Macaca mulatta: one gene and its partners. The protein of the gene in region 2 interacts with the protein of the main gene of each other region in a pairwise test. Links are inferred from orthologs where the notes say so. Each region holds a gene or a part of one and is shown on either strand. Other genes may lie near its edges. The genes, in order: BCCIP, CCDC33, EMD, TTC19, MAGED1 and ABCF3.

Region 1 (4,275 bases), on a different chromosome or scaffold from region 2:
TGCGCAAAAATCAAAATCACTTCAAAAGTCCCTGGAATTGTCTAGAGCTTGACTTAGCCCATGGATTTGAGGTTACACGTCATTTGCTTAGCAAATACTTATTAAGTACCAATCCAGGTACCAAGCACTGTGCCAGGCACTCAAGATGAAAAGGTTAGTAAGGCAGACACAAATGATCCTGCTCTCGTGCAGCTTACGATTTAGGGAGGAATACAGACATTAAGGAAATATTTATAGAAATAAATGTAAGTGCTATAAAACAAAGGTACACAGTGCTGTAACAACTTAAAAAATAAGAAGTCAGTCAGGAAAGGCTTCCTTAAAGAAGTGACACTTGAGCAAGGAACCAAAAAACGGCAAAGAGAGTTCCTGGTACAGGGAACGGAACAAACTAAGGCCCTAAGGCAGAAGGAGACACGATGAGTACAAGGGACTAGAAGAATGAATGTGTAGCTGGGCTCCCAGATCTCTATCTGCAAGACAACAGAATCTAGAAGATGGCACTAAAATGCCAAAAACAAAACCTCCTTCCTTTTAAACACTAACAAGATCAGTCCTTGAGGACCCTAAATCATACCTTGATAAGTGACACAATGAACTTGGGGCTCTGATGAAATAATATATTTTGAGGCACTTCAGGTTTTAATGGTTTGGGAATTTAGATCTTAGCTGAAGGACATCATAGAGGAAATCAGACCCCCTTTTACCTTGCCACCCTAACTACATATATATCTAAGGCTTCCTTAATTGTTAAATGTGCAAGGCCCTGGAATTTTGAAGCAATTCCAGCTCCAATTTGAACTCTTTTAAGTCCAGCTTTGCAGACTTCAAATGCTAACTCAGCCAGATTATGTGAGCAGCAAAACAAGGGGTCAGGTGGGAGTGTTTCAAACAGGATCAAACTAAACCAAATAACAAATTGTCATTATTCAGGACTTAAACTTATTCCTTAGACATAAATACATTCTGTAAATGATGCTCATCTAGTGTTTTTTTGTTTTTTTGCTTTTTTTTGCCTAGATAGATGTTTTCGACCTCTGTCCCAGACTATGATGGCACCACCAGGGAAATGGGCAGCAAATGGAGTATATGTCCAGCACCCTTTTCCTGGGTATGGGCTCATCTCCACATGGTTTCAGCAGGAACAGTCATGTTTGTAGAAAAGAGCCCTGTCCCTCATTCCCAAGTGATTTAGAATTAAGACTGTGGTGGTCTGATAGATTTCCCATGTTAACACAAGAAGCACTGATTTCTATAACCCAAAAGTAATAAAATAGCTAGTTAAAGTTCTAAGTGAAAAATGGTGAGATGGCATTCAAGGCACAGAGCCAAAGTAAAGATCTGTAAGGAAAGACTGATCACCTGCACACGTCATGGTGTCAACTCTAATCCTGCATCCATGCTTCTCTGTATCCTCCCCTCCATGCTCTTCATGACTGACTCATGGTTACCGCTGATTTTATTTCCTATCACTCTCTCTTCCTTATTCTGATCCAGCCATCCAGGCTGCCTTTCTGTCCCTCAAACGTAAGGATTCTGGATTTTCTTATAAATGAACTAGAAAGCCAATGGAGCACTCTGAGCAGAGGCGTGAGATCAGACCCACAAGATCTCTCTGACTGTAGATGGAGTATAGACTGATTGTAGGGAAACAAGAATGGAGAAAAGCACGCCGGTTAAAAGCTGTTATATTAAATAGTAGTCCAGGCAAGAGATAATGGAGGTGTGGACTACGATGGTCTCATAATCAGTGCTGAGAAATGTCTGGATAACAGGATTTACTGATGGACTGAATATAGGATGAGGAAAGGGAGGAATTAAAGTTAAGGAATTAAAGTTTTGGGTTAGAGCAGCTGGTGATTTTAGGGGCCATTTACAGAAACGGTGACGGTTAAGAGAGGGGCATGAATTATTATACAAATCTGCTTTGGACAAGTTAAGGTTGAGGTATCTATTTACACATTCAGTGGTCTGAAGGACCATTCAGTCCTAATTATTTATTAAACAAATAATAAGTACCTATATTTCCAGGCACTATAGGACCTATTCTGAAGAAAAGAACCCAGTTCTATAAGACTATGAAGCCAAAGATTTACCTACGATTTGGGTCAGCTGCCCCAGGAGCCAGAAAATACAGCCTAGCTGAGATCTGAAGAAGGGAAAACTCTGCAGGATGAAGAAGAGCGTCTGAAAAAGCTGCTACGGTAGAACCCGGCAGGAGCCTTCAAGAAACCGAGGGCCCACGTGAGTGCCGCCCGCAGAATGAAGAGGTCAGCTGCTGCCCTGCGGGGAGAGGGCCCCTTCTGCGGGCCCGCGGTGGCCGATTCAGGATTTGAGGCTTCAGCCTGAGAACTAAAGAGGGCGAGAACACACCTGTTGCGGCGGGCTTTTTCGGGGGGCCGCGGGTTGCGAGGTTAACCGGACCGGAGTCGGCCTTTCAAAAATAACCACTGTGGCTGCAGTGTGTGAAAGACCGAGGAGAAACCTGAGAAAGAACTTATCTCCAGCTTTTCCTCACAGACCCTCAGGGTTAGGGAAGTCACTACGCTATTTTTACACAGCCTGGGCTTGCCAGAAAGTTTTTCTCAGGTATAAACCAACTAGGGAAGCGTGTCCTTCCCACCTCGTCAATGACGTCGTCCTCTTCATCCTCTTCCTCGTCACTGTCGTCATCGTCTTCGTCCTCATCCTCGACTTCATCTTCCTCTTCTTCGTCGCGCTGGACTAGGGGGTCCGGCGGCTGCGGAACCCCACTTTCCACGGCCCGCCGCTTAGGCCTGGACGCCATGTTACCGCTCACACTGCGCCTGCGCAGCTTCCCCCTGCCTGACCTTCCGGATCAGTCCATAGTAGCCACGGGGGTGAGGGACTACGAAGAAGCTCGGAGCTGAGTGCACAACAACTCCAATGCCCCTGCTGGATTCCGCAGTCATGATCCCTTCCAGTTACGTCCAGCTTGCGGTCCTATCTTGCTTTTTTCTTCCTCTTTCCACCCTCCCTCACTCCTCCCAAAGCTTCCCCTCCCCTTCCCGTAATGGTTCAACCCATCTAACCTCTGTCCTCGATCCGTGGCCTGGATGTCGGTGCGCATGCGCGAGCGCCTAGCTGTGCGCGCGGCCGCCCCCGCATCCCGGGGCTGAGGTGCGGGGTCCGGCCCGCCGCGGCCCCTTAGGCTGCGCGGGCAGGGGGTGGCACCCCCTGTTGTCATTGCTCCTGCAGCCTCAGCAGCCTCTTCGCTGGGACTGCGCGACACCGCCCCCAGACTGGGTGCCCGCTGTGTGCCAGGCCCGGTGCTGGGCACGGTCCCGTCTCTTAGCCCATTCGAGCCTCCCCAGCCCCGCGAGGTAGGTGTCGCCGCCCGCGGTACCGGGTACAGACGCCGAGGCCCGCGGGCATGCAGGGGCCCAGCCCCGGGCAGTGTATTACACAGCGGGGCCAGGGCGCCGAGGCCTCTGCGGACACCTCCTGCCCAGGCGGGGAGGTCCGCGGCCCTTACGGCTGCGCAGGTGACGGAAGGCGCCTGGCCAACGTACCCTCGCCGCGCTTCTGGAGCGCGTTTCTTGACCTAAAAGTTTTTTTAAAGCCGGCACCGCAATTAAAAATGCTTCGGGGAGGGCGGGCGCGGTGGCTCATGCTTGTAATCCCAGCACTTAGGGAGGTCGAGGCAGGTGGATCACCAGAGGTCAGGAGTTCGAGACCAGCCTGGCCAACAGGGTGAAACTTCAACTCTACTAAAAATACGAAAATTAGCCGGGCGTGGTGGCAGACACCTGTAATCCCAGCACTTTGGGAGACCAAGAGGGGTGGATCACTTGAGATCAGGAGTTCGAGACCAGCCTGCCCAACATGGCGAAACCCCGTCTCCACTAAAAATACAAAAACCAACCAGGTGTGGTGGCGCGCGCCTGTAGTCCCAGCTACTCAAGAGGCTGAGGCAGGAGAATCGCATGAACCCAGGAGACGGACATGAACCCAGGAGACGGAGGTTGCAGTGAGCCCAGATCGCGCCACTGCACTCCACACCCCAGCGTGGGCGACAGAGGGAGACTCCATCTCAAAGATAAAAGAAGAGCTTCGGGGCCAGTGGGGGTAGTCTAGGTTAAAGACCCGAGCCTATTTTGAGAGAAGAGTGGAGGGGACTGTGGCCAACTGCAGAGCGCGCGCGCCTCTGCTGCCAACCCCTGTGGCAGGTGGGGATGTGGCCCAGGGCAGCCAGGTCTTTCCATTGCAAGAGAAACGGGGCTCATCAGCTTTCTAGGAATAAGATCTACCGTT
Region 2 (4,236 bases):
GCTTGCCTCTTTAGTCCTGCTGCTGGAGAAGAAGCAATGGCTCCCCACCCCCTCACCCTGCTGGCCTAGCCTCCTAGACTTAGCAGGCCTGAGAGGCTGGGAGAGAGGTGCTTTAGGGAGACTGGGGGAGCAGCCCCTGAGACCTTTCCACACATACACACTGTGCTGGGACATGCTGGCCCACAAGGGAGATAAAGCACAGTGCTCACAGCCAGGCCATTCCTGGTCAGGCCCCCAGTCCCAGAGCCCCAGCGGTACCACTCTTGGCAGGCCTAGACGGGGAGAAAATTAGGAGTGGGGTTCCCGACTTCCATCTCCCACCAGTGTCTGGGTGGTCTTGGCTGGTCCTTTCAGTTCTAATCAAAGACAAAGCCTCAGTTTTTCTGTCTCTAACCTGGGGAGAACCACATCCTCGCTGCTGCTCTTTCTGGAGGGGGGGTAGAGAGGGAGGCTGGGAGGCCTCTGCAAAGCAGGAGTCTTCTGCCTCCTGGCTGCCAGGCTGGTCCTGCTCTTCGGCCAGATTAAAAGAATCTCCAACATGGGGCCCAAAATAGGTAGAAATGAGGCAGGCCACAGGGGCCTCCCAAACACCTCTGACCACCACCCAGCACCCCAGATCCCTCCTCTTCTAGCCCAGGATTTCTGATGATCCTTCAAAGCCCAGTTCAGACCTCACCTCTCTATAGAACAACTCCCCACCCCAGGCCAACGACTAGCCTCTCCTCATTCTGCCATCTCACCTCACCAAAAGCACTTAGAACCCTGCCTGGTGTGCTGCAAATGCTCCACTAAAAGACATACTTTGTCTTCGTAATAATTTCTTGCAGCACTCAGAACTGAACCACAATCTTTGGTTCATACTCTAGTGCCATCACTGGCCCATCATGGCTTTCTTTAGTTGTTTAATTCTAATTTATTTTCAATAATATAATGAACTCCCATTAACTGACCACCCAATCTAAAAACCCAAAGGTTTAGAATGTATGCTCTTACCCTCTTCTCTCCCCCATCTTCCCACCCACCCTCCCAGAAGAAACCATCCTCTTGAAGTTTGTGTTTATTATTATCAAATAAATGGAAGACTATAGGTACCCAAAGAGGCACGATGGCTGGTAGATTCTTCAACAGAAGTAGCTGTTTTACCGATCAAGCTGCCACGCTCTTGAGAGCAGTGTCTGGCTTCCTCTTTTGCTGCAGTGTGAGCGGCATGGGGCTGGCCATGCCACAGGGTCGGTGGAGACTATGTGAGGCACCAAGAACAGGAAGGGTGAGGCCTGAGTGCCAGGCGGCAGGTGGAACACAGCTCCAGGAATAGGGAAAAGAGATTCGTGTTCTAGCTCACTGCACCTGGACAGGTGCCTGTGTGACTTTGGCCCTGCCCTGTGACATCACACAATGTTGCCCAGGTGACCCAGCTAGGTGGAAAAGCTCACTGCTTTTCCAGGCCTGGGCAGAGAGAGGGCTCTCCCATCTCTCCACCGTCCTGGGAGTGCCAAGAGTCAATCGCCTCGTTGCTGACCCTGTCCAACTGGCCATGGCCTGCAACCCCCTAGGCCCCTCCACCCATAGACCATCTTGCTGCTGAGAGATCGAGGACCTGCCCCCACCTGGCCACCCTCCCCCTTCCCCAACATCCAGACCCCAGGGCTGGTGTGTGGCACCCCTGAGACCACATTGACCTCCATACTGTCCACTAACCATAAGGACTCCAAGACGCCCAGGCCAACTGTCTGGGCAGGACTGATGCCTGATCACCCACTTATACCAGGTACTCGTCCCCAAGATTGTTAAACAAGGCCAGACACTCCTGGCCTCAAGAGGATGGGACTGAAAAACAAAAAGGTAAGGCCAGGGGAATGGGCCACACACCTGCATGAATCCATCCCTCCTTCAAAGTCTCTCCTTCAAAGTTTCATTTGTTCCTTAATCATGACAAAAGCTTCCCTTCTCTGGGCCTCAGTTTTCACAGCTGTGAAATGGGGAGTGAGGCGGTCTCTGTGGCTCTCCCAGGTTAGCTGCCCTATACTCTTGGGCCACGTGGGAACTGGAATGCAGTGTACTTGCGGGTGTTGTCAGTGCTGACCACCCTTACCTGCTTGTTTCTGCCCTCTTGTTGCTGGGGTCACACAGTCTGAGAGCCCACTGAGATGGTTCATTACCCCCATCCAATATCTCCCAGGATATTCCCAGGCTGCTACCTTGGCAGCCCTGATGCCCCCACTGCCCCCATGCTCTCCTAGCCCTGGCCCTGATTTTCTGGGGCCTAGGCCCCTGCCCTGGAACGCAGATGCTTGGGTCTCTGGAGAGAAGGGATTTTTGTGTGTTTTGTTCATCTCTGTATCCCCAGCACTCAGAACAGTGCCTGGCACATAGTGGGTGCTTAATAAAAAGCTGTGGCCTAGCAGCAGGGTTCTGCCAGGAAGGGACTAGAATCTTATTGCAATGAGATATAAACAGTTCAGTGCAAGGGACCCCTTACCTTCCTCTCACTAGCAAGGCAGAGCCCCTGCCCTAGATGGTGTTACCCACAGGGATACCAGAAGGAGCTGAGACCAAAGGCACATCGGTACTTGCAAACGGGGAATACCCTCTTTGTAGTTATACTCAGCTTGAATAAGCCAAATAGCTGGGGGTGCTCAGGCCTTAGTGTGATTTCCACTTTATTACCCTTGATTTTGATGTCTCTGGTTCCTGATGTTCTCTGCCCACAGCTGCCCCTGAACCTCCGCAGACTCCACCCTCCCCATTAAGACTCTTTCTGTAATGCCACACACTCAGGACCAGGCACCAGTTTGATCTGGCACCCTAAGCTGCCAGGTGGTCCCCACCTGCCCCACATAGCTGGGATTGGGGATCCAGGGAGTGTGCGTGGGAGTCCTGAGAAGGAGCCAAGGTTGCTTTGATTGGTAGCTTTGAGAAGCACTTTGATAGCTGGGTAGAATCGCCCATAAGGATGCTCATCATGGCCGGGGGGGTGGCTCACGCCTGTAATCCCAGCACTTTGCGAGGCTGAGGCAAGTTTAAGACCAGCCTGGTCAACATGGTGAAACCCCGTCTCTACTAAAAATACAAAAATTAGCTGGGTTTGGTGGGACACAGCTGTAATCCCAGTTACTCAGGAGGCTGAGGCAGGAGAATAGTTTGAACCTGGGACATGAAGGTTGCAGTGAGCCGAGATCGTTCCACTGCACTCCAGCCTAGGCAACAGAGTGAGATTCCGTCTCAAAAAAAAAAAAAAAATGATGTTGGCCAGGCACAGTGTCTCACTCCTGTAATCCCAGCACTTTGGGAGGCCAAGGCAGGAGTTTGAGACCAGCCTGGCCAACATGTTGAAACCCTGTCTCTACAAAGAGCGAAACTCCGTCTCAAAAGAAAAAAAAAAAAAAAAAAAGGATGCTCATCATGTATATAATATATATATTTGTGTTTCTTCTTTTGTGAATACCCAGTTCATGTTTTTTTAATTGGGTAATGCTTATAGGTTTCAGTGCTCTTTGTATACTACGGATATTAATCCTTTTTTAAATATATAGCAAACATTTTCTCCTTTTTTCCTTTTCTTTGTATTGCAGGGCATTTTGGATCATTACAGAAGTTTGTATAGATTTTTTAAATGTAATCAAACCTATCCTTTTTTAATGATTTCTGACTTTTGTGTCATCTTTGGGAATGCTTCTCTGCTCCAAAGAACACAATTCCTCTTGCTGCCACCAATGGATACTCAGGTTATGAGTTCAACGGGGTATCCACTGTGGAGCAGAGAAGGGACCCACATCCAAGGAAGCATGGTCAGAGCACAGCAGAGACAGCAAGAGCGTGGGGTCAGACGGACCCTGCTTCCAGTTCCAGCCCCGGCCCCACTAGCTAAGCCGTGTGCTTTCACGCAAGAGGTTTACTTTCTCTGAGTGTGCTTCCTCACCTGAAAAAGAGCTTTCCCCTGACCACCGTAACTCCCAGGCAAGTTTAGATGCCAAAGCTAGAAGGAACATGGGGAACCATTTTTAACTGAAAGTCCTTGTGAAACTGCTGGGAAATAGCCCCACTGCAGTCAAATAACTCGCCTAAATGACAGATCCGGGCAGTCAGGCACCCTGCCTCGCAGCCCAGCCCCTCTCCAGCTGGTGTGACTTTTCAGATGCAGGGTCCTTCTGGAGGGCAGAACCGGGCTCAGCTCCTCAGGCCTCCCAGACTGCTGGAGGAGAGGGGTGGCAAGGGAGGCGTGGGTGGAAGAGTTTG
Region 3 (4,251 bases), on a different chromosome or scaffold from region 2:
TCAAGGCCCTGGGAATCCTAGCCACAGTTCAGGCTCCTGAGCAGGCCTTGGCAGCCTTCCATAGCTCATCACCGACGTCTGCCCCCTGCCTAGACACGCTGCCCTCAGGGACTATTCCGACAGGAGAGGACGCCCCGCTGCAGCTCCCCCCAGTGCCCCGGGTGAATGAACGGCATGAAGGATTAGGCGGGCACACGTTGTCTCTGTACGCATCGCACGGCGCCCTCTGCCCGCGCCCACTGGCGTGCCCGTCGGCATGCCCGGGCCCCTTCGAAGGCTGCTTGCTTCTGGAGTGCCAGCGGCCTCCTGGCCCAGTGCCCCATTTCCTCCCGGGTAGAGTGAGGGAGGAGGAAGGGAAGCAGAGAGGTAGGCGGTGGGAAGCAGCAGGCACATGTGCGCGGGCGAGAGCCCTGCAGACTGGGAAGAAGGGCCCGTGGCAGGGGGTCTGCGGAGATCCCATAGGCGCGGGCCTTGCCCCGCAGCCGCTTCCCGAGCAATGCGCACACAAAGCGCCCCCGGCAGTGCCTGGCCCCGGGCCCGCGCTCTCTTAGGGTCCGCTGCCGGGGCGGCCGACCGGGATGCGGCCGGGAAACCCTAGGCTCTGGGGCCCAGGAAAGGGGGGCGACGGCGGGGAGCAGGGATGTGCAGGGACCGGGCGAAGTCCAAGTGACTTAGGGACCAGAGCCACCCCAAGCGCCGACTTCGCCCGCTCGCACGTCCCGGGTCCCTAGCGCGCAGGCCCCATCCCTCTCACCCGGCTGGCTCAAGCGCGCCACAGGGTGACGTCTTGGCTCCCAGCCGTGTCGCCCTGACTCCCGCGCGGGCCCCGCCCCCTGCCGCTAGCCAATCTATGCGTTTGTGACTTTTGGGCCCGCAGCCCCGCCTACTCCCACTGCGATACCAGTTTGCATTGCCCTGACTCCCGCGCGGGCCCCGCCGCCTACGCCGCTAGCCAATCCGTGCGTTAGTGACGTGTGGCGCCCCTCGCGGCGCGGCTTGCTCCCACCGCGAGACCTTCTGCCCCGCGCCCGCGCGGGCCCCGCCTCCTCCATCGCTAGCCAATCCCCATGTTTGTGACGTAAGGGCTCTCCGCTCCGCTCGCTCCCAACGCAAGACCTTTTGCTCCGCGCCTGCGCGGGCCCCGCCCCCTCCATCACTAGCCAATTCCCGTGTTTGTGACATATGGGCTTGCGGCCCCGCCCGCTCCCACCGCGAGACCGGTTCCCACCACCCTGACTCCCGGGGGCCCGCCCCCTCTGCCGCTAGCCAATCCGTGAGTTGATGACGTTTGGGCTCGCGGCCCCAGCCTCCCAGCTCTCAAGGCCCGGCCGGTCTGTGCCGGCTACTCCCGCCGTTAGGTCCCGCCCAGCGCAGCGCGCGCAGCCTGCGAAGCCAGCGGCCGTGACGCGACAGCGATTCGGCTGTGACGCGAGTGCGGCCGCTCCCGATGCACTCGTGCCGCCCCCGCCGTGCTCCTAGGCAGCCGTTGCTCGGCCGGTTTTGGTAGGCCCGGGCCGCCGCCAGGCCTCCGCCCGAGCCCGCACCCGCCATGGACGACTACGCAGATCTTTCAAATACCGAGCTGACCGCCTTGCTGCGCCGGTACAACATCCCGCACGGGCCTGTAGTAGGTACGCGGCGGCGGGCGGGACCCCTTCCGGGCCCCCTCCTCGTGCTCCGCCCCGCGACCTCCCCGCTGCCCTCCCCGCGCCCCTTCCCCGGACCGCGGCCCTGACCGCCCCGTGTCCGGCCAGGATCAACTCGTAGGCTTTACGAGCAGAAGATCTTCGAGTATGAGACCCAGAGGCGGCGGCTCTCGCCCCCCGGCTCGTCCGCTGCCTCCTCTTATCGCTTCTCTGGTGAGAGCCTCGCCTGTGGGGACGGCCTGGGACGCGGGGAGGATGAGGTAGCGAGGGTGTGGCAGGGGTGCCGGTCGAGAGCGGCACTGGGGAAAGGGGAGGGAAGTCTTGGGGTGGGGGTGGGGGTGGGGGGGCAAACAGTTCTGTCTCCTCCTTTCAATCCAGACTTGAATTCGACGTCAGGGGATTCAGATATGTATGATCTTCCCAAGAAAGAGGACGCCTTACTCTACCAGAGCAAGGGTAAGGCAGGGGTTGGGTGGGCACGCTGGCACCTTCACCCGACTGCGTCAGGGACCCCGCTCACAGGGAGGACCTGAGACCTCAGTCCCAACCACTCCAGCAGCCTTAGGAGGGAGAAACTGTCACAGGTCCCGAAATGGGATTCAGATTAGGGCCATCGGGCCAGGCGGGGCACACCGATGCCCCCTCTGCTACCGCTGCCCCCCTTCCCAAGGCTACAATGACGACTACTATGAAGAGAGCTACTTCACTACCAGGACTTATGGGGAGCCCGAGTCTGCGGGCCCGTCCAGGGGCTTCCGCCAGTCTGTGACTTCACTCCCAGATGCTGACACTTTCCACCACCAGGTGAGCTGGTTGGCAGGCGTACTGTACTTGGGTACAACCTAGGGGATCGCGGCTGTGTTTGGATAAATCCAGGGGGCCACTGGGTACAAATGGTGGCCCTTGGGCCTCTGGGGAGACTTTGGCTCAGCAGACACCTGTTTGGTCAGGGTCCTACTTTGGGGAGCCCTCAGAACTATGTGACTAGAGCACATAGGATGCGTCCTGCACCCTGGTCTGGGATCTAGGCTCCAGCTCTTCCTGAGAGTCCTGGGGGCAAAGGGGGGTGCTGGGGCATGAGCACAAGTAGCAAGGCCCCATGGATAAAAGGCCGAACACCCAGAGTCATTCAGGAGGGTGTGGGTCCCTGGCCTTTAACCAAAGGTCAGAGGGGACCTGCTGGGGAAATTTGAGAGGGACGTGGCAGGGCCATTGTGGCCCTGCCAGCCAGTTCCCTCACCTTGACTCTCTTCTACAGGTACGTGATGACGACCTTTTGTCGTCTTCTGAAGAGGAGTGCAAGGATAGGTATGTATGTATGGGGAAGGCCAGGGACAGGGGCTGGTTCTGGACCCAGGCTCCTGGCCCACCTGTTCCCCTCTTTTGCCTCAGGGAACGCCCCATGTACGGCCGGGACAGTGCCTACCAGAGCATCGCGCACTACCGCCCTGTTTCAGCCTCCAGGAGCTCCCTGGACCTGTCCTATTATCCTACTTCCTCCTCCACCTCTTCTATGTCCTCCTCATCATCTTCCTCTTCATGGCTCACCCGCCGTGCCATCCGGCCTGAAAACCATGCTCCTGGGGCTGGGCTGGGCCAGGATCACCAGGTCCCACTCTGGGGCCAGCTGCTGCTTTTCCTGGTCTTTGTGATCGTCCTCTTTTTCATTTACTACTTCATGCAGGCTGAGGAAGGCAACCCTTTCCAGAGGGAGCCATGAGGGTCTGGGCTTCAGAGCCAGGTCTTCTGGGGAAGTCCTGGCTGACTGCCTTAGCAGTGGGGGTGGGGGTGGGGGTGGGGGCAGGGGCAGGGGCAGGGGCTTTTATGTGTTCTTGCTTGGGGGGCGCTGGGCCTAGCCCAGAGTAGTGCTTGCTCCCCCTGCCTTGTCCCACCAGGGAGGCAGCAGATTCAGGCCCTCCATGGGGGCCTGAGTGTGCTTTCCTCGGCAGCCTCCTGGCCCTGCTTGCCTGTAACCCTTAGGGTCCAGGAGGGCAAGGCCTCGCTCAGTCAGAGGAGAACATGGTTCTTGTTGTCATGCATGCCTCCTTTTTGTCATCTTGTTGGGGGGGATTAACCAAAGGCCACCCTTTGTTTTCGTGGACACACAATAAAAACCCCATTTATTTTTAATGCGTTGGCTCTTCCTGGAGGAGAGGGTTGGGCTCCCATGGCAAGGGCCTCTGCGTCTTGGGACTCGAGGATTGCAATCTGGCTTTGTTGGGTCCGCATTTTTGCTTTGGTCTGGGGATAGGAATCAAATGCTACCCAGAGATGTTTGTGTTTTGTTTGGGAGTTTTATTCCCTAACTCATTCCCCAAAGCACCTGTAACTGCTTATACATATAATTGTGGTACAACAAGGCGTATACAGAGAACCCACTTAGAAATTCAGGCAAAGCAGCCGGGCGCGGTGGCTCAAGCCTGTAATCCCAGCACTTTGGGAGGCCGAGGCGGGCGGATCACGAGGTCAGGAGATTGAGACCATACTGGCTAACACAGTGAAACCCCGTCTCTACTAAAAATACAAAAAAGTAGCCAGGCAAGGTGGTGGGCGCCTGTAGTCCCAGCTACTCGGGAGGCTGAGGCAGGAGAATGGCGGGAACCCG
Region 4 (3,500 bases), on a different chromosome or scaffold from region 2:
ATCATTAGCATGTTTCTTTAATGATGAGTGGACCTAGATTTGGTTTGTTAACAACAAAGTATGTGCAAGTATTTACTTCTCACATGATTGCTGTTCTGCGCTTCTAGCAGATTAATTGGTGACATGCTTTTCATTTTAAACTTTTTTTAATTTTGAGGGTGAAAGCAAAAGGGAATTTTAAAGTTTTGAAATAAGTAGGAACACAGTACTCTAAACTGAAAAACAATTTGTAATTTGCTTTCAGATGGCCAACTTAGCATTTATACGGGGTCAGCTTGAAAATGTAAGTAAATTACTTTGCAATGTCTTGAATTTGTGAAGGAGTAGCTTCAAGGGTACTGTGATAGTAAGGGTACAGGATAAGCTGCTATAACAAAGAGACCCCACAATATAGTGACTCAAACAAGATACAAGTGTATTTCTCTTTATTGTGTTAGTCCAGAGATAGGCTAAAGACTGAAGGCAGATAGACATAGGCACCATTGCTCTCTGATCCAGAAGTCCAGGTTCCTTCTAAGATAAGCCCTCATCTGCCTGGGTGAACTGCCTCACCTCCAGCCTGCAGGAAGCGGGAGAAGATGGACTGTGAGCAGCTTCCTTATAAAATATGATTTAGAAGTTCATGTTCTTTTTGCCTGCATCCCTTTGCCTAAATTTTATCATATGACCATATCTAACTTCAGGGTGTCCAAGCTGCTAAAATTGACTGAATGTTTTTTTTTAAGATAAGGTCTTGATCTGTTGCCCAGGTTGGAGTGTGGTGGCTTGATCACGGCCGACTGCAACCTTGACCTCCCAGGCTCAGTTGATCCTCCCACCTCAGCCTCCTGAGTAGCTGGGACTCCAGGCGTGTGCCACAACACCTGGCTAATTTTCTTATTTATTTATTTATTTATTTATTTATTTATTTATTGTAGAGACGGGGTTTCACCATGTTTCCCAGGCTAAATTGAGGGGACTCTGTAATCAAAAAGATGGAGAAGCAGAATGACTATTAGGAGACAGTTTGTAGTCTCTGCCACAGTGGGTTTGGATAAGAAGTTAATCTCTGAGGTTGTTTTCTGCTCATCAGAGAGTAGTTTAAGGTACATAGAGGATGCTGGGGGTCCTGATATTTTGATCTGTTTTCCTTTCAAAAGGGTACTTTTCTGTGTGTGAGTGTGCATGTGTGTGAGTATATGGGCTTTACAAGGAATGATACATCAGATTGGTACTTAGAATCCGGGGCCATATATATATAATGGGTCCCAATTAAAAGAAAAATCTTTTTCTTATGCTTTTAGGCTGAACAACTTTTTAAAGCAACAATGAGTTACCTCCTTGGAGGGGGCATGAAGCAGGTAAGGACATTGCCTAGTATTGGCCCCTCACTGAAGCAGTTTTCAGAACAGTCTTGTCTGCTGAAAACTCCTGCTAGCCCCACCATACGCTTTGGTCAGGAAAGGTGGAGTTTCCCTTCTGAGATCTGTATACAAATAGACGTTCTTTCACTAAATGCAACAGCATGTTCGCCAAGGAATTCACAGTTGGCTAATCACTCTAAAAGAATAAAGACTGTGGCTTTGAGGCCACCGTCAGTCTGGAAGTTGATCTGAAATAATCCAATTTGAATATTTGACTTGTTATGAATTCTCTTCATTCTCTTTCTCTCACAGGAGGACAATGCCATAATTGAAATTTCCCTAAAGCTGGCTAGTATCTATGCTGCGCAGAATAGGTAAGTACGGCAGCCAGGGAGTAGGACTGTGGGCAGAAAAGTTTGACTCTGGGATGTTACATAATATTCATTGCCTGCTGGTCATCTGGGTCTCCCAGAAATTGGGTGCCACACTCAAAAAGTGTTCTGTCCCTCATCTTTGGAATTGTCAGTCTTTTCCAGTTTGCCCCTCCTGTTTCCAGTAGCCTGCCTAGTGGGGCACACAGCATCTCTGGCTGCCCTGTGACAAAGCTAAGTTTTCTGTTGCTGCTTGAAGTGGGAAGGGAAGTTAGAGTTACAACTTTAGTTTAACTTTTTTAGAAGAGGAAAGAGCAGTGTGAAAGCTGCTGGGGATAATATATTAATACTCTGAAGAAGCCATTTTGCTGGTATAGATAGAGTTCAAAGATGAAGCATCTAGGATGTAAGCAGAGAACTCCTCTAGGGAGTTGTATTTGGGGTGAATTTAGGGAGAGACCTAAGACTAGCTTCACTTAGGGTTTTAGTGGTGCAGAAGTTGGTGCTAGAGGTTTGGAGTGACACGGAGCCTGATGCTGTAGAAAGGGTGCTTACCGAGACCAGGCCCTGGTACTGGTCCCTGCTGTCCTACTCACCAGCTCCTTTGTTCTCATCAGGACCTGCAGAGTCTCCTTGCATTTTGATTGGACACTAGATAGGCTAGAGCTTCCTAGAGCCTTTGACTTCATGTCTTTTGAGGAGCTTTGAGCTTGGCCTATGCCAGAGAACACTGCAGCTTGGTCAATCTTCCTTGGAATTGTAACAAACATGCCTAGTTCTTGATTGGGTATGAACTCCTAGGGTAAGAAGAAGCCCGGAGCTAATAAACGTTGTTGAATAAGACAAATTCATAGTCTTATAGACGTGAAAGCTAGTAACAATTAGCCTCTAAGTTACATGGTATACTGTACTTTTTATTTTGTTTTATTAAGACAAGCATGAGACTAGAAAAGACATGGCCAGATCTGAGGCTTCGAAAGGCTGATATAAGTTAGGAGGGGAATTGTTTGTGGACCTCTTGCTCTGACTGGGAGCATCTTGTGGGCAGCATCCACTTGCCCTGTGTTATGGCTGGAGAGGGCCCTCTTGCCAAGTTTTGAGTCTAGGGAAGGAAGGGGATGCTTCTCTTCTTCTGAGAACAGAGCAGAACAGTAGGGTCATAAGTTCTCCCCCGGCAAAGCACTAGAGAAAAGATGAGCTTTTAGTGCCACTTCTGTAAGAAACTAGAGCCAAAACCGAAGAACAAGAACCAAAACTGAGTTCCTAAATGGAGAAGGGATTTCTGTCACATTTCCTCTGCATCTCTGTAAAAAGCAGCAGTCAGCCAGCCTGCTTGGGTTAACTGAACCCTCTCCAATTGATTGAGGGTCCAGGGCTACAGAGTTGGGTTAAACGACTTCTATTGCCACAGCTAGGAGTTCCATTTCTGCAAAAGAAACTTTTATCAGAGACCTACAGCTTGAAATAAATATAAAATGACTAAAGCTCCTGAGAAGCTGTATGAGGTCAACAGTTGGAATCCTCACTGCAGGGTGGCCTGAACCTCTGTTCAGGGTAGTATTAGTTTGAACAGAGGTAAGACTTTCGCACATGGAGAAACTGATTCACTGGAGACCATCTGTTAGTGGGAGATGATGAAGACCGCTGGCTATGTCAGTTATTAAAATTAGGGCAGCATTCCTAGCTTTTTGTGTATTAAGTTATATTAAATGGATGACTTTTAACTACTTTGAGAAATGGCAGATTTGACACTCCTTAGACTTTAAACAAAGTTCCCTCTTCCCAT
Region 5 (4,160 bases), on a different chromosome or scaffold from region 2:
GTTAGATTTCAGGAGGTAAAAAGTGGTAGAAATTACTTTATTTCGTTTTTCTTTTTTTCTTTTTTTCTTTTTGAAACGGAGTCTCACTCTGTCGCCCAGGCTGGAGTGCAGTGGCCGGATCTCAGCTCACTGCAAGCTCCGCCTCCCGGGTTCACACCATTCTCCTGCCTCAGCCTCCCGAGTAGCTGGGACTACAGGCGCCCGCCGCATCGCCCGGCTAGTTTTTTGTCGTTTTTTTTTTTTTTTTTTTCTACAGGAATAAAATAGTGGAATTGTTCTCTGATACCATAAGTCAGTCAACCAATCTCTCCCACCCCACACACATACATTTAATTTTTTTCTATATTCCTCGAATGTGAGGTACCTTTAATTTCTTAAAAAATCTCAGTAAGTGTGCTGTTGCTGAATCAGTTTTTTTACATTAAGTACTACAGGGTTTCATCTGTCATTACTTTTTATGCTAACCATTTTGTAACTTTTATCTGAATAATTAAATACTTGTAACTAAATTATGTTTGAAGATTCTTAATCTATATAGGAGAAAACTTGTTTTATTAAATTTCATTTATTAGTGTTATTCATATTAGTAAAGTGTCTACTTTTTCTCTGTGGTTGTCAGAAGCTGGAGAACACCAAGTAATTTAAGATTTATTTGATTTGAGACTTTACCATAGTCAGGATATTTAAAGATATTTAACTAGGGGCACTATATGTATTAAAAGCTGACTTCCACTTTATAAAATTACAAAATATTAAAACATGCAGAAAAGTGTAAATAATAATAAAACAATGAACACTTTTGCATTTATTGCCTAACTCAATACATTTAGAAAATCGCAATGCAATTGAAGTCCCCTCTATGAACCCCCAATCACATCCTACTCCTTTTTCTCTACATGTTGCCATTATCTTCAATTCAGTATTTATCATTCCTTTGCATTTCTTTTGATTTTCCTACTTATATAAATATCACTTGAAATATATGAAATTATTTTGCTTTTTTGAACATTATTTATATGGCAGAAATGTATGCATTCTTCTACAAACCTGCTTTTTTATTGTTCATCATGGTATTTGTCAGGCTCATTAATGAATATAAAACTCATGCATCTATTTATAATCTCGTATAAAATCATAATTAAAAGTCTCACTCCATTTTTAATGTTTGACTGCTGACAGCTTTGAAGTCTTATCTCTCCCTGTTCTCCCTCTGTCCCACATCTGAGCAAGATAAGAAAGCCATGATGCAGTGTTCTTTACCACCAGTGTAAAGTTCAAACCACAGGTGAGAATCCTCACCCCAGCCCCACCCCCAACCACCATAAAAACCCAAGCCAGTGTTCTCTCCTTGCTTTATAAAGCCATGTTTGGATGTGTCTGAGAGCCACCCCTGCTCTCTGCAGAAAACCTCATTATGTGAGTAATCAGCTTTTTTATGAATGTTGGTGTGTGTTTGTTTGGTATCATTGGTGTTGACATTCAAACCAAATTTTGAACTGGTGTCCATCCCGTCTTTGTGGAGTATTCAAAAAATTATTTCAGTGTTCTTTTGTTAATGGATATTAGGTTGTTTCCTTTTTTTTTATAGTTGAAAACAATGGTTCTATGGATACTTTTTGTTTTTTCTTATTGATTTGTAGAAGTTACATTTATATTCTGGATATGGATTCCTTGTTAGTGTTGCAAATATCTGCTCTCAGTCCGTAGTTAGTCTTTTTACCTTAACGGTTTCTTTTGTAGTACAGAGGTGATGAATTTTGATATAAATTTTGATCAAATCTACCAGTCTTTTTATTTATGATTGATCTTTGTATCTTTAAGAAATATTTCTCTGATTTGGAGGTTATAAAAATGCTCTTCTAAATGTTCTAAAACCTTTAAAGTTGATTTTTCCCATTTAGGACTTTGATCTATTTATTTTTTGTTGTATAAGTTACTTCTTTTCTTGTAATGTCTTTGTCTGGTTTTTGTATCAGGACCATACTGGCCTCATAGAATGAGTTAGGAAGTATTTGCTATTCTTTAATTTTCTGGAAAAGTTTGTGTAGTACTGGTATTATTTCTTTTTAAAATGTTGGTAGAATTTGCTAGCGAAGTCATCTGACTCTTTAAAATTTCCTTGTGGGAAGGTTATACAGATGCTCCTTGATTTACAATGGGATTAAATCCCGATAAACCTGTTTAAGTTGAAAATACTGTAAGTTGAAAATGCATTTAATACACTTATCCTAGCAAACATTGTAGCTTAGCTTAGCCTACCTTAAACATGCTCAGAACACTTAATATCAGCCTACAGTTGGGCAAAATCATCTAACACGGAGCTTCTTTTATAATAAAATGTTGAATAGCTCATATAACTTATTGAATACTGTGCTGAAAGTGAAAAGCAGAATGGCTGTATTGGTGCTCAAAGTTTATTTTTTATGGAATGTATATCGCTTTTGCGCCATTGTAAAGTTGAAAGAGCATAAGTTGAACCATCATAAGTTGGGGATTGTACTAATTTAGTTTATTTGTTTCTTTGTTATTAATGTGTCTTTTTGTTTTTCCTGCATTGTTTCCAGAGTTTTTAAAAAAATCTCTTAATCAGATTGATTGTGATGAGCCTTGTAGTTTCCTTCATGTTTCTTTTGCACCAAATATGTTGATATTTTTTGATTTGGGGGTTAAAATTATCACTAAAATAATGGCAAAACCCACAATTAATAGTAACATATGAAGAAACAGTGGCTAAGAATTTTAGCTGCCTTCCTCTCCCGAGAATCATCTCCTTACCTCAGGGGATCTGCCGGGTGAAAAGTATTAATACTCCTCTCATCTTCTTTGGGGACTTTAATTACCTGTGTATTAAGTTGCTTGCCATTGTTCAACAGTCCACTGATATTCTTCATACTTCAAAAAAATTCTTTTCTGTCGGTTTCATTTTGGATGATTCTTATTTCCATTGTTTTCAAATTCTTTAATCTTTCCTTTTCCATAGTTTAATATGTCATTTATCCAATTTGGCGTATTTTTAAGCTCAGATATTATTATTTACATCTCTAAAATTTTAATTTGGGCGTCTTTGTTATAGTTTTCCATGCCTCTACTTAACTTTGTAAATGAATAGATTATGTCATAACTTTTTAAATGTCCGTGTCTGGTAACTCTAACATCTGCATCAATTGTTGGTTGGTTTCAATTTATTGATTTTTTTAAAAAAATAATTTCAAGCTTCTTTGCATTGCTGGTGATGTTTGTTTACATTCAAGCCTTGTGGATTTTACCTTGTTGGATGCTAGATATTTTTATATAACTAAAAATTTCTTGAGCTTTATTCTGGAATATGATGAAACTACATGGAAACAGTTTGATCCTTTTATGTCTTGCTTTTAAGATTGATTAGGTGGAACCAGGGTGGTGCTCAGTCTATGGAAAATTATTCCTTGCTGGCTGTTGGTAACAGGTGCTGTTCCTGTCCCAGTGTAAGTGATGAAAAGTGTTCTTTCTAGTGATTTCAAATGGTTCTCTCCCCTGCCTTGGGTAGTTTCCTCTATATACACTAATGTATACTCTGTTGAATACTCAATGGACCCTTTACAAATCTCAGGAGTTCTTTTTCTGCACTGTTTCCCCATTCTGCTAACTATTACCTGCAGATTTTAGCTGCCTTCTCACTGGACTCTGAGTGTTGTCTTCTTACCTCAGGGGATCTGCCAGGTTCTGTCTCAGTTATTACCCTTGCCTGTGGCATAATCTGAAAATTCTCTCAGGGAAGTATGCTGGGGCATTTATAGGGTCACCTTGTTTCTTTACCATTTCTCAAGGATTATTGGCCCTCACTACCTGATATCTATTGTTCTGAAAACAATTTACTTTTTAATTTTTCAACTAGTTGGGTAAATGGTCTCTGTCATTCCATCTTGCCCAGAAGTACAAGTTCAGCTGAGAGTTTAGAAAGGGTTAAGATTCTCATAAGTTTTTTATGTAGGGAATCTTATCAACTCTAAATATTAATAGTTTCCTTTATTCATTTCTAATCCTTACTCTCTTCTGCCTTCTCCTTTTCCTCCTTCCTCCTACTTCCTCCCGCACCTCTGGATAGGGTCTTCAGTATAATGAATGAAAGGGATGATAGCAGTGATTCCTGACTCCCATTATTAAAGGGGGAACACATTTCT
Region 6 (2,611 bases), on a different chromosome or scaffold from region 2:
CAGCCTCATGAGTAGCTGAGATTATAGGCATCTGCCACCATGCCCAACTTATTTTTTGTATTTTTAGCAGAGACAGCGTTTCACCATGTTGGCCAGGCTGGTCTCAAACTCCTGACCTCAAATGGTCTGCTTGCCTCGGCCTCCCAAAGTGCTGGGATTACAGGCGTGAGCCACTGCGCCCGGCTAGAGTCCTTAAAAATATTTTTTTGGTTGTTGATGGAGTCATTGGGACTGGGGACTGCCTGAGACCCCTTCTAATTTCCTTCCCTTCTGTGTTACACACAGCGGTGCTCTTTTTATTGATACGTAATTATACATGTTTATGGGGTACAGAGTGATATTTCCATACATGTATACAATGTGTAATGTTCGAATCAGGGTAATTAGCATATTCACCGTAAACATTTATCACTTTATGTTGGGAACATTCAAAATCTTCTAGCTTTTTAAAAATGTACAATCAGTCATTGTGAAGTGTAGCGTCCCTGCAGTGCTGTAGAACCCTCGAACTTATTCCTCCATTCCTCCTATCTAGCTACAATTCTGTTTTGGTTAACCAACCTCTCCCGATCTCCTCTCTCAATTCCCCTCCTCCCCGCTTACCCTTCCCAGCCTCTAGTAACCAGAACTCTACTCTCTACTTCTATGTGCTAAACATTTTCTAGTGCCCACATATGAGTGAGAACTTACAGTATTTATTTTTCTGGCACACACTGTATGACGTTTTCACATTTCTTAAGGTTGGAGAGAATGGGGCCGGGAAGTCTACCATGCTGAAGCTGCTTATGGGGGACCTGGCACCTGTTCGGGGCATCAGACACGCTCACAGGTCAGAGGCACCCCCGCCCATGAGCACACTTGCAGGCACCCATGCTTCCTGCACTCCTTCATGGCTGTTGCCTTTGTCTGCTTTTCCACCTCGGTTTCTGTCTTCAGGAATCTGAAGATTGGCTATTTCAGCCAGCACCACGTGGAGCAGCTGGACCTGAACATCAGTGCTGTGGAACTGCTGGCACGCAAGTTTCCTGGTGAGTTGGGGATTTGAGTGGGGAAAGAGGGATGAGGCTGACCCCGGCAGCTAGACCTGCCTTGGAGTGAGTGCAGAGCAGCCCTCCCAAGCCTAGATGGGGACTTGGAGGTGTGGCTGGAGGGTACAGGGAGGGAGTTGGGCCAAGAAACCACCTGATCTGGGGAGTCCTTTTCCAGGGCGGCCTGAGGAGGAGTACCGTCACCAGCTGGGTCGGTATGGCATCTCCGGAGAGCTGGCTATGCGTCCTGTTGCCAGCTTGTCTGGGGGCCAGAAGAGCCGAGTGGCCTTTGCTCAGATGACTATGCCCTGGTGAGGCCTCATTTTCTAGAGCTCTTCCCCTCCCATTTCCCCTTCTTGCCCAGTAGAAAACTGTATCAGAAGGCTTTATTTTCTCTCACCACACCCCTTCACTGCCTACCTTCCTGGGTTCTGCCTTCCAGCCCCAACTTCTACATTCTGGATGAACCCACAAACCACCTGGACATGGAGACCATCGAGGCTCTGGGCCGTGCCCTCAACAATTTCAGGGTGAGTGTGCCTTCACCCTGCCCACTCCTCCCCAGGCCTCGGTGCCTCTCGTGTCCCCCTCAGCACCTCCTGCTCTCGTGTCTTTCAGGGTGGTGTGATTCTGGTGTCCCACAATGAACGCTTTATCAGGCTGGTGTGCCGGGAGTTATGGGTGTGCGAAGGAGGCGGCGTCACCCGCGTGGAAGGAGGATTTGACCAGTACCGCGCCCTCCTCCAGGAACAGTTCCGCCGCGAAGGCTTCCTTTAGGGCTACCAGGCTGAGGACTCGCCCAGGACATGGACTGGTCTCTCAGACCCCTGGGCCACCACATAGGCCACCAACTCCAGGCCGTGGACTTCCCCCAACTTGGGGACAGCCTTATTCCCAAATGTCTCTCTCCTTTTGACTGGAGCATCTTCTGCACAACCTTGGGAGCCCATCCAAGGGTTGGTGAGGACTGGTTTCCCGGGGGCCGGGGGTCTGGGGGTACCCTCTGGGGTTATAGGTTTCCCCACTGCCCCAGCTCTGACTGGACCCCAAGTGGCTGCTATGTAAATTAAATGTCTCCCTGCATCTCCTTTGCCTCATGTCTGCTGCTCCCTGGGCAGTGGTTGCCTCCTATTGAGGGCTATGGACTCTCAGATTGGCCTTTTCCTATGGCACTTGTATCACTCACGTGGAGGAAGCAATGGCAGCACCAGCCTTGCCTCTAGAAGAAACATTGTCAAGCTGCTGGGGCATTGAGGTCATCTGCCTGCCTGACCTTGGGGTGGGCTGAGCCAGTGGAATGAAGGGCAGTGTATTGGCATCACTGCGGTGCTGTTAGCCCTAGCCTGGGCTCAGCCTCAGCTGAAGGGGTCTTGGGTTCTGCCACCACAGCCCCCACTGATGGGCAGTTGAACTGATTCTGTAACCTGGCCTCACACGTGGCTGGCTCCTTTCTCCAGTGGTATCTGGCTCCGGCTTGCCCTGCTTCTCTGCTCTCTAGACTCAGCGCTGAAGAGAAACTGTCTTTGTCCTCACTTTGCTTAGGTGATTGCATGTTCTTTATATTTCCTCTAACCATGTAGGAG

What was found.
Region 1: the proteins of CCDC33 (region 2) and BCCIP interact in a two-hybrid assay, tested with the Homo sapiens proteins (3 studies listed by BioGRID and IntAct). The two-hybrid records come from large-scale screens. The link is inferred for Macaca mulatta from reciprocal best matches to the Homo sapiens genes CCDC33 and BCCIP.
Region 3: the proteins of CCDC33 (region 2) and EMD interact in binary tests that used the Homo sapiens proteins (3 or more experiments, as listed by UniProt). The two-hybrid records come from large-scale screens. The link is inferred for Macaca mulatta from reciprocal best matches to the Homo sapiens genes CCDC33 and EMD.
Region 4: the proteins of CCDC33 (region 2) and TTC19 interact in a two-hybrid assay, tested with the Homo sapiens proteins (2 studies listed by BioGRID and IntAct). The two-hybrid records come from large-scale screens. The link is inferred for Macaca mulatta from reciprocal best matches to the Homo sapiens genes CCDC33 and TTC19.
Region 5: the proteins of CCDC33 (region 2) and MAGED1 interact in a two-hybrid assay, tested with the Homo sapiens proteins (2 studies listed by BioGRID and IntAct). The two-hybrid records come from large-scale screens. The link is inferred for Macaca mulatta from reciprocal best matches to the Homo sapiens genes CCDC33 and MAGED1.
Region 6: the proteins of CCDC33 (region 2) and ABCF3 interact in a two-hybrid assay, tested with the Homo sapiens proteins (2 studies listed by BioGRID and IntAct). The two-hybrid records come from large-scale screens. The link is inferred for Macaca mulatta from reciprocal best matches to the Homo sapiens genes CCDC33 and ABCF3.

The regions. Positions count from the first base shown.
Region 1 is NC_133414.1:137,877,323-137,881,597, reverse strand, and holds the start of BCCIP (BRCA2 and CDKN1A-interacting protein), read right to left. Parts: upstream 2,801-4,275; 5' UTR 2,789-2,800; coding exon 2,624-2,788; intron 1-2,623. UniProt on the Homo sapiens protein: During interphase, required for microtubule organizing and anchoring activities. During mitosis, required for the organization and stabilization of the spindle pole.
Region 2 is NC_133412.1:52,149,562-52,153,797, forward strand, and holds the start of CCDC33 (coiled-coil domain-containing protein 33), read left to right. Parts: upstream 1-1,436; 5' UTR 1,437-1,821; coding exon 1,822-1,842; intron 1,843-4,236.
Region 3 is NC_133426.1:160,532,518-160,536,768, reverse strand, and holds EMD (emerin), read left to right. Parts: upstream 1-1,451; 5' UTR 1,452-1,549; coding exon 1,550-1,631; intron 1,632-1,754; coding exon 1,755-1,859; intron 1,860-2,024; coding exon 2,025-2,102; intron 2,103-2,316; coding exon 2,317-2,450; intron 2,451-2,904; coding exon 2,905-2,954; intron 2,955-3,038; coding exon 3,039-3,366; 3' UTR 3,367-3,773; downstream 3,774-4,251. UniProt on the Homo sapiens protein: Stabilizes and promotes the formation of a nuclear actin cortical network. Stimulates actin polymerization in vitro by binding and stabilizing the pointed end of growing filaments. Inhibits beta-catenin activity by preventing its accumulation in the nucleus.
Region 4 is NC_133421.1:18,121,214-18,124,713, reverse strand, and holds part of TTC19 (tetratricopeptide repeat protein 19, mitochondrial), read left to right. Parts: intron 1-244; coding exon 245-283; intron 284-1,283; coding exon 1,284-1,340; intron 1,341-1,655; coding exon 1,656-1,717; intron 1,718-3,500. UniProt on the Homo sapiens protein: Required for the preservation of the structural and functional integrity of mitochondrial respiratory complex III by allowing the physiological turnover of the Rieske protein UQCRFS1.
Region 5 is NC_133426.1:51,753,049-51,757,208, forward strand, and holds the start of MAGED1 (melanoma-associated antigen D1), read left to right. Parts: upstream 1-1,360; 5' UTR 1,361-1,371; coding exon 1,372-1,416; intron 1,417-4,160. UniProt on the Homo sapiens protein: Involved in the apoptotic response after nerve growth factor (NGF) binding in neuronal cells. Inhibits cell cycle progression, and facilitates NGFR-mediated apoptosis. May act as a regulator of the function of DLX family members.
Region 6 is NC_133407.1:96,327,590-96,330,200, forward strand, and holds the end of ABCF3 (ATP-binding cassette sub-family F member 3), read left to right. Parts: intron 1-740; coding exon 741-829; intron 830-936; coding exon 937-1,028; intron 1,029-1,206; coding exon 1,207-1,339; intron 1,340-1,470; coding exon 1,471-1,558; intron 1,559-1,646; coding exon 1,647-1,805; 3' UTR 1,806-2,111; downstream 2,112-2,611.